Tamandua tetradactyla: one gene and its partner. The protein of the gene in region 1 purifies or fractionates together with the protein of each later gene. This does not show direct contact. Links are inferred from orthologs where the notes say so. Each region holds a gene or a part of one and is shown on either strand. Other genes may lie near its edges.

The links.
Region 2: the proteins of DTX3 (region 1) and RNF114 purify together in Homo sapiens (affinity purification with mass spectrometry; 3 studies listed by BioGRID and IntAct, counting the BioPlex papers as one, with this or other methods). This does not show direct contact. The link is inferred for Tamandua tetradactyla from reciprocal best matches to the Homo sapiens genes DTX3 and RNF114.

The regions. Positions count from the first base shown.
Region 1 is NC_135333.1:124,890,932-124,894,837, reverse strand, and holds the start of DTX3 (putative E3 ubiquitin-protein ligase DTX3), read right to left. Parts: upstream 2,693-3,906; 5' UTR 2,334-2,692; intron 1,427-2,333; 5' UTR 1,373-1,426; intron 986-1,372; 5' UTR 918-985; intron 715-917; 5' UTR 640-714; coding exon 639-639; intron 297-638; coding exon 1-296. UniProt on the Homo sapiens protein: Regulator of Notch signaling, a signaling pathway involved in cell-cell communications that regulates a broad spectrum of cell-fate determinations.
Region 2 is NC_135327.1:2,776,218-2,780,123, reverse strand, and holds the start of RNF114 (E3 ubiquitin-protein ligase RNF114), read left to right. Parts: upstream 1-1,657; 5' UTR 1,658-1,691; coding exon 1,692-1,837; intron 1,838-2,294; exon of another isoform or gene 2,295-2,397; coding exon of another isoform or gene 2,398-2,417; intron 2,418-2,427; exon of another isoform or gene 2,428-2,652; coding exon of another isoform or gene 2,653-2,720; intron 2,721-3,906. UniProt on the Homo sapiens protein: E3 ubiquitin-protein ligase that promotes the ubiquitination of various substrates. In turn, participates in the regulation of many biological processes including cell cycle, apoptosis, osteoclastogenesis as well as innate or adaptive immunity.

The DNA of each region.
Region 1 (3,906 bases):
CTGCCTTTGAGCTTTTTTCAGCTCTTTCTCTGCCTCTTTTAGCAGCCCCTTGAGAGCCTTCCGGGCAAGGTAGAGCCCATTGGGAGGGGCCGGGGGAGGGCCCTGTGGGGAAAGCTGGAGAACATATATGTCAGAGGTCTCGCCATCTATGAGGATGGACACACGGTGCTCTTCCCGAAGCCGGGCCAGCCGCGCCGGGGTCTCCTTGCTCAGGAAGTCCCACACAGGCTTGGAGACGGTCACTTTGTTTTTGCAGGTGCCTCCACAGGCTGCCATTCTGGACAGGACGAACGACACTGCCCCAAAGGTGAAGGGGACTCAGGGCGGGGAAATCCCTTTTGACAAATATCACTGTCTCCCTTCAGGTTCCTTCCAAACCCTGTATTACCTCTATTCTCTCAAAAATCCACCCCTCCCCCCAAATTCATTTTCTGTCCTCCCAGAGCTTCCAAACCCCAGCACCCCCTAAAGAGCTCAAAAGCTCCTATAACTTTTATTATCCACTAAGCCCAGCAATCAGTCTTGGTTCTCCTTACACTTCTCCCAGACCACAGAAACAATCTGCTCCCTCCCCACTCTGGGTGAATAATGGGCTCTTTAAAGGGGAGGGAAGCTTTTTGACCCTCCTTTTCGCTCACTTTGATCCTGAAGAGCTTAGAATTGGCATGCAGGCTCTCTCTCGCTTTTCCTCTCCCTACTTGTGGGTTGTAGGACCTAATGGGGTGAAAAGAAAAAGGAGGAAAATTAGGAAACCCCCAGTCACCACATATCCCAACCCGGCAGCCGTGTAACAAAGAGATGGGGGCCTGGAGTGGATTACTGGCAATGGGATTACCTTGGACATGGAATGGAGGGAACCGAGTTAAGGGTGAAAGTTGAAGTTTCCTGTAGGGGTAGGTAGGGGGTAGCGGAGGTACCTGGAAAGCCCATGGACAATGATGACAGCAGAAATCCCTCTGTTTCCACCACACTCAGCTGACCAGGACTAGGAGAAGTTAAAGTGTTATGATGACAATCGTTACCATTTTTTTCCCCAGCCAGTCCAGAAATAAAATAAAAACTCCTGTTCCATTTCCTCTCCCTCACTCCTGTAGACTCTCATCCCCAGGCTCTCCCCAAGTTGTTCAAGAAGGAACTTCAACATGCTAACCTTCCCACCCCCCACCTCTCCAGCTCTGAGACCCTCAAGAAAGCCTGGGGCACAGATGAAAAGTCAGGAAGGGAAAAGCCTACATAGGTGGAGGTCTTTCTTGCCACCTCCCTCAGATTACATGGATGGGAATATTTTCTATGCTCCTCCAACTCTATGCCCTACTCCACGTTCCCAAATAATTCAGCCCCTACTGCTAGGGAGCCTTCGTTGTGCGCTAACCTCAGTCCCTTCTCTTCCAGTCTGTTAGGAATGCAAACAAAGTGGCAGCGGCCCCTGCAATAACAAAGTTCTCACTGTCACCTTTTAAAACCAGCACAGCCTGTTAGCGCCCTCATCTGCATTCAGGGAGGGGTTGGGCTCACACAGGGTGCTCAGCTGAAGGGCCCTGATGTTTCCCCCAAGTCTTGTCACGTTCAGGTATAGAGCTATACCCACAACACCTCCAAGTACAGCTCATATGGAAAGAGGGGCCATTAGTGTGACCTCAATTCCTTGACTGATTCAAAGGGGAGCAGCTGTTGGTTTGTGTCTCCATCATAGTCCTCTCAAGACTGGAGTCACCTCAAGATTCACCAAGTGAAGCTGGAACCCTAGGGCCTCCGCCCCCAGTGTCTTTCCCGGGTGGAATCTCCTCTCACCCTACTCCCCCAACCCCCAGTCAGAGGAGACCTAGGACCTAGGTGTCCTAGCTGCAAGTCCTGCTGGCATAGAAAAGGGAGGAGGTGCCACGGTTTGTGCTGGGTCTGTGATTCCTCTGGGGCAACCCAGGCCGGACGCCGGCTAAGCCCTCCTTCCAGATGATGGCCTGGATTAGGGGAGGCCGGGAAGGGCAAGGGCCCCTGGGGACAGCCACTGAGGCAGCTCCACCCCTCCCCCCACAGCCTTCACCGAGACCCGACCCGGAACCAACCCCCTACATCCCCTTTTCGCCGGACCCTACGGAGCCCTGCCGCTGGGTTGGGGGTGCATGTCCGCGGATCGCGGTTCCCGGAACCCCCAAATGGAAGCCAATGCTGGAGGATGATGTTAAGATGATCGGCCGGGCATGAGTGGGCCCCTAGAGCCATGCAAGGGGGAAGAGGGCCGAGGAGCGGACGCAGAGGGAGCGGGGGCCGCGCGCGGGGCGCGAGCGGGATCCGGGGGTCGCGCGGTGGGTGTGGGGGCCGCCGGGCTCACCTACCTCTCGTCAGCGCCGCCATTGCCGGTCACATGACTGAGGCTGTTGCTGGGATGACGGTCCGGGCCTTAGCAACAAGGGGGGGAGACCCCGAGAGGGGGAGACTTGCAGAGGGTGCAGACTGAGGGGAAGGGAAGGAGGACAGCACCCCCTTACCCCTCACAGGTGATAATCACCGTTTCCTTTGACCCCTTCGGCCCCCGATCCTCTGCCCCTCCTCCCCCAAACAAAAATGGAGGCGCCGTCCCAGTCTTTCTTTGGAGGGAGGGGGGTGGCGTCGAGTAACTGAGGGTAGGAGGTTAAATCCCTTAGAGACGTCGCCGCCACCCTTGTCGCTTCCCCTTTCAGGGAGGAGCCCTCTCCCTTCCCTTTCTCAGCCAGCTGCGTGGCAGCTTCTGGGAGCTGGTAGTGGGTAGGTGGGTGGGGAGTCCCACTTCAGGTATATGGGAATGGGGATGCGGTGGCAATTGTTCTGAAATCCTTATGCCAGAAGGGCCTTTGAGGAACAATGTGGGATGGGAAGAAGAATCATAGTAAAAAGAAAAGCATTGGTTCTAAAAAAAATAAACCCCAGTACTAAACTATTTTCAAGTTCCTGATCTTTTGCCTCTTCCTAGGTTGCTACCGTCTATGATCCCCCCCAACCTGCTCCCATCTGGGTACCGAAAAATGCCTATTTCTCTTTCCACAAATGGGGCTACTGAGGCTGGTGCAGAATGGGAAGTGAAAAAAATATATATATATTATTATTTTTTAATGGCTTGGGGTGGTGTGTCAAGCAAGTCTCTGGTTCAAATAGAGTTAAAAATTCTCAAAGGGAAAAAAAGCTCTGCTCTGCTTCCCACATCAGAGCAGTCTCCGCCTCCAGCCCAACTCACTTCGTGGGGCCACATCAAGCCAGGTTTTTCTACCAACCAAAGGCCTCTTTAGCCAAGAAGTACTGGCAACAACCTCTATTCATCCACCCACTTTCTTCACTGCCCCTCTGGCTAAAGGGCTAGGCATTTTCTCCTTCACTTTCCCAGGACCCTGCTGTATCACTCCTGCGCTCCAGACAGAGGACATCTTTCCCAGGAAGCCTACGGAACACTGGATTCAGCTTCTTTTAGTTAAAAGATGGGACTGTGAGGCCCACTCCCTTTTAGAGTTGAGAGTGTGACCAAGTCCAGAGCCCTGGGAAAGAGGGAGGGTCACATCTTCCCAGTTCTCCCAGGTCCCCACCATTAGCTGAACTCCTGCAAAGATGGAGAATAAGTTGTCCATACCTATACTATTGACACCCCCTACTGTGCCATTCACAGCCTTCTGTCTAGAAACCCACATCCTTAATTGGGAAGCTCAATACACTGAAGACTAGAACTCTTCATTTGGTCTTTGTACCCCCAAGCACATATATCCTCAGAAAAAGGAAAGGAAAAATAAAAAAGGCATTTTTGTGAAGGAATTTTAATTCAATAATTTATTTTCTATATTGTGAAAGCATTGGGAGCAAATACACAAATTTTTTTTTTAATTAAGAAAACAAAAAAGATGAAAAACAGAAGCAACAAATGAAGACCATACTGCCCATAATACA
Region 2 (3,906 bases), on another chromosome or scaffold:
AAAAGGGGCAAGAGTGAAATGAGACAAAATAAAATGTCAGTGGTTGAGAGATTCCAAACAGAGTCTGGAGGTTATTCTTACACGTTATATAGATATCACCTTTTTAGTTTAAGGTGTATTTAAGTGGCTAGAGGGAAGTACCTGAAGCTGTTGAGCTGTGTCCCAGTAGCCTTGATTCTTGAAGATGATTCTATAACTATACACCTTACAATGTGACTGAGTGATTGTGAAAACCTTGTGTCTGATGCTCCTTTTATCTATGGTATGGACAGATGAGTAAAACATGGATTAAAAATAAATAATAGGGGGAAAAATAAATTTAGTAGATTGAAATGCTAGCAATCAATGAAAGGGACTGGTCAGGGGTATAGAAAAAAATAGGGAAAACAAAGGCTAAATTGGGTAGATCGAAATACTAGCAGTCAATGAGAGGGAGGGGTATGGAATGTATGAGTTTTTTTCTTTTTATTTCTTTTTCTGAATTGATGCAAATGTTCTAAGAAATGATCATGGTGATGAATATATAACTATGTGATGATATTGTGAGTTATTGATTATATACCAAGAATGGAATGATCATATGGTAAGAATGTGTTTGTATGTTATGTTTCAAAAAAATTATGTAAAAAAAATGAAATGTAGTTCTACCACTATAATAAAGTTATGTGTAATGTAATAAAAAAAAGCTAAGACATTCTTTTAGATAGAAGGAGTCTAAAAAGACAACCTAATATCAATTGCTCCCTAAGATCCTGGAATGGGGTTGGGGGACTCAGTTATAATGGGCATTACTGAGAAGTGGGGAAATTTTAACGTAGACTATATATTAGATAATAGAATTATGTCAAGTGTGAAATTTCATGAGTATGACAATTGTACTGTGTTTATGAAGGAGAATGTCTTTGTTCTTAGGAAATACATGCTGAAGTATTTGGGGTGAAGGGTTATTATGTCTGTAAATAAGTCCCAAAAGATTCAAAGCTTCAGCAAAAAAAGTGTGTGAAGAGAGAGAGCTAGAGAGAGAGAGAGAGAGAGAGAGAGAGAGAGAGAGAGAGAGAGAGAGAAGGCATAAATGTAGCCAAATATTAGCAACTGGTGAGTCTAGGTGAAGGGTATATGGCTGTTCGTTGTACATTTTTGTAACTTTTCTGAAGGCTTGAAATTTTTTAAAATAAAAAGTTACACGGAGAAAAAAAAAAAAGATGGCACAGAACAATATAAATTTGGAAAACAGTGACTGAAGCACAAAGCCCATCCCAGTTCTGGCAGCCTATGGATCTGGTGTCCACATTTTCCAGATTGCCCTCGACTTCTCCCTCCCACCACTCGGAGGGGCCGTGGGGCGGGGCCCGCCGCCGGCCCCGCCCCCGCGCTAGCGGGCTGTGCGCTCCGCTCCCCGGGCTCTGACTCGGCCGCGGCCCCGCCCCCGCGCCGGTCCCGCCCCCCGCGCTAGCGGGCTTTGCGCTCCGCTCCCCGCTCTCTGACTCGGCCGCGGTCCCGCGCCCCGGCGGGCTTTGAGCTCCGCTCGGCGAGAGCTCGCTCGGCCGCGGCCCCGCCCCGCGCCGGCCCCGCCCCCCGCGCTAGCGGGCTTTGCGCTCCGCTCCCCGCGCGCTGGCTCGGCCGCGGCTTCGACCCCGCCCCCTCGGGCTCCTCCCTCTCAGCCGCCGTTGCGGGCGCTCAGCTGCAGCAAGATGGCGGCGCAGCAGCAGGACCGTGAGGGCCGTGCGCAGCTGGCGGGGCCCGCGGCGGCGGCGGAGGCCGACCCTCTGGGCCGCTTCACCTGTCCCGTGTGCCTGGAGGTGTTCGAGAAGCCGGTGCAGGTGCCCTGCGGACACGTGTAAGCGACGGGCCGGGCCTGGGAGGGGGCGCCTGACCGGGGGGCAGGGATACCAGGGTGAGGCCCGCCCGGGAAGTGCTCCGCGGCGGGAGCGCCGGCCGAGGCCCCCAGCCAAGACCTCCGGGGTCGCGGGGGTCGGCGGGACGCTTTTACCTCCCGCCTGCTCACCCCAGGTTCCCGGCCCTCGCCTGCCTCGGGGGCGGCCCTCTCGGTCGGCCGCGCACCTGCTGTCAGTGGAGCCGCGCGCCTGCCGCCGGCGGTTGTCGGCTCCACCCGCAAGAGCCGGAAGGGACGGCCTCGTCTGGTCTCCTCCAGAACATGGAGCTCCTCCGGCGCCGCGCAGCCAGCTCTGCCGAGTCAGTTCTCGTGTGCGGCGAGGTTGGAGAAACGCTGACCTAGACTGAAAGAGGGGGAAGTCTGCGCGTCCAGCCGGTCTGCGGTTTCTCCGGCGGCTGGGGAGCGGCAGTTGGGCGTGGCGGGCCTTTCTCCAGGCGTACGGGGCTCGCTCCCTTCGCTTTTAGATTAGGCCCCTATGCCCTGCGTGTGTTAACAGGCTGGTTATGACGCCAAGGAGATATATGTGAGGATGTCCACTGAGTCCTTGGAGGGGGCTGGTTTTGCGTCTGAGCCTCGTTCCGCAGGCAGACCAACGCGCCTAAGCTGAAAGAGTTGTAGAACCCCGAGCCACCCGCTTCTTGCCGTGGAGAGTTGGCATTTCCTCCTTGGCCTCCCTTAACGCTTATCGCGGGCATTGAACTTGGGAACGTTTCACGAGCCTCTGGGCCCAGCAGACCCCTGGGGGTCTGCTGGGCGTCATGGCCGTTCTTGCTTATTCCTATAGCAGTCCTTCAAGGGAGGAGCAGGGTTGGCGGCAGTTGTACAGGTGAGGGGACCACTGCTTAAATCTTCCCGACTGAACTGCAGGCATCTGTTTTCCAGACCAGAGAGCAGTGCTTGGCACCTGGCAAGGACTCGCTAGCCACACTGGCCACCGCTCACTTCTAGACCACTCAACTGTTTTCAGCTTTGGGCTGTAGCTACTTGGGCTTCATTTGGCCGGGAACTCTCCTACCCTGTCTGTATACCCCCTCCCTCCTTCCTTCTCAGCCTTCAGTCCCAATTTAAATTATACCTCCCTCATCCCATCCCATCCAAATTACTCCCACCTCACCTTCTCCCCTGGGGCTTCCTCCCTTGCACTGAGCAAAATTTAGGGTTACCATATCTGTTTTGCCCCTCCCCATATATCAGTGTCCAGCACAATGTTTGACCGTCTTCCAATCTTCTGTTCAGCTGACTGTAAACTAGGTGATTTTGCCTTCAGAATTGACGGTCCCGTGAACTGATTGTAAATAAGTGTTAACAAATGTTGAAGTCATATATTTGGAGAGTACAACAAGGGACAAACGTGCATGTGAGGGGTGATCGGGAAATAAGTGAATTAACTAAAAAGTTAATGATGGAAACAAGTTTCAAGAGAGTTGAAACAGAGTTCAGGTAGCTTTCTCAGTGGGTCCTCTTCTCTTTAGATTGAAGTTTACCAAAATTTGGATTAATTGCTGGATCTCATTTAATGTTAACATTTGTAAAGAGGCGCGACCCAGCACAGTTTACCAACTGAAAAGCAGCAGAATTTGAAATTTCCTTGAAGTAACTGAACTTTTCCCAGGTCAGAGGTTAAAGGGCATTATTGACCATTCGAATGCTGATTGAGGACAGATGGAAGCACCTCTGTGAGGCCAGCAGAACTCTCACCCAGCTGCAGCCAACTGCTGCTTGTCTTCCTAGTTCTTTTGTGTTAACTTCTGTGCTTGAAAACTTACGCATCCCTGCAGCTCTGTCTGGGGCATTAGATTTTTATAAAACTTTATTTCAAGCCCTGAATGACTATATCCTTCTCCAGTGTAGTGGAATGTAGTTGGGGAGGGGCAGGTGGCTGGGTGCCCAAGGGGAGGGAGTTTCGAAAGAACACCAGGACAGAAAGGGTGGAGCATCCAATGGGCTGAATTTGAGAAAGGCCCATGAATCGGATATAGAAACTGAAAGCCAGCCCAAGATGCAGGGACTGC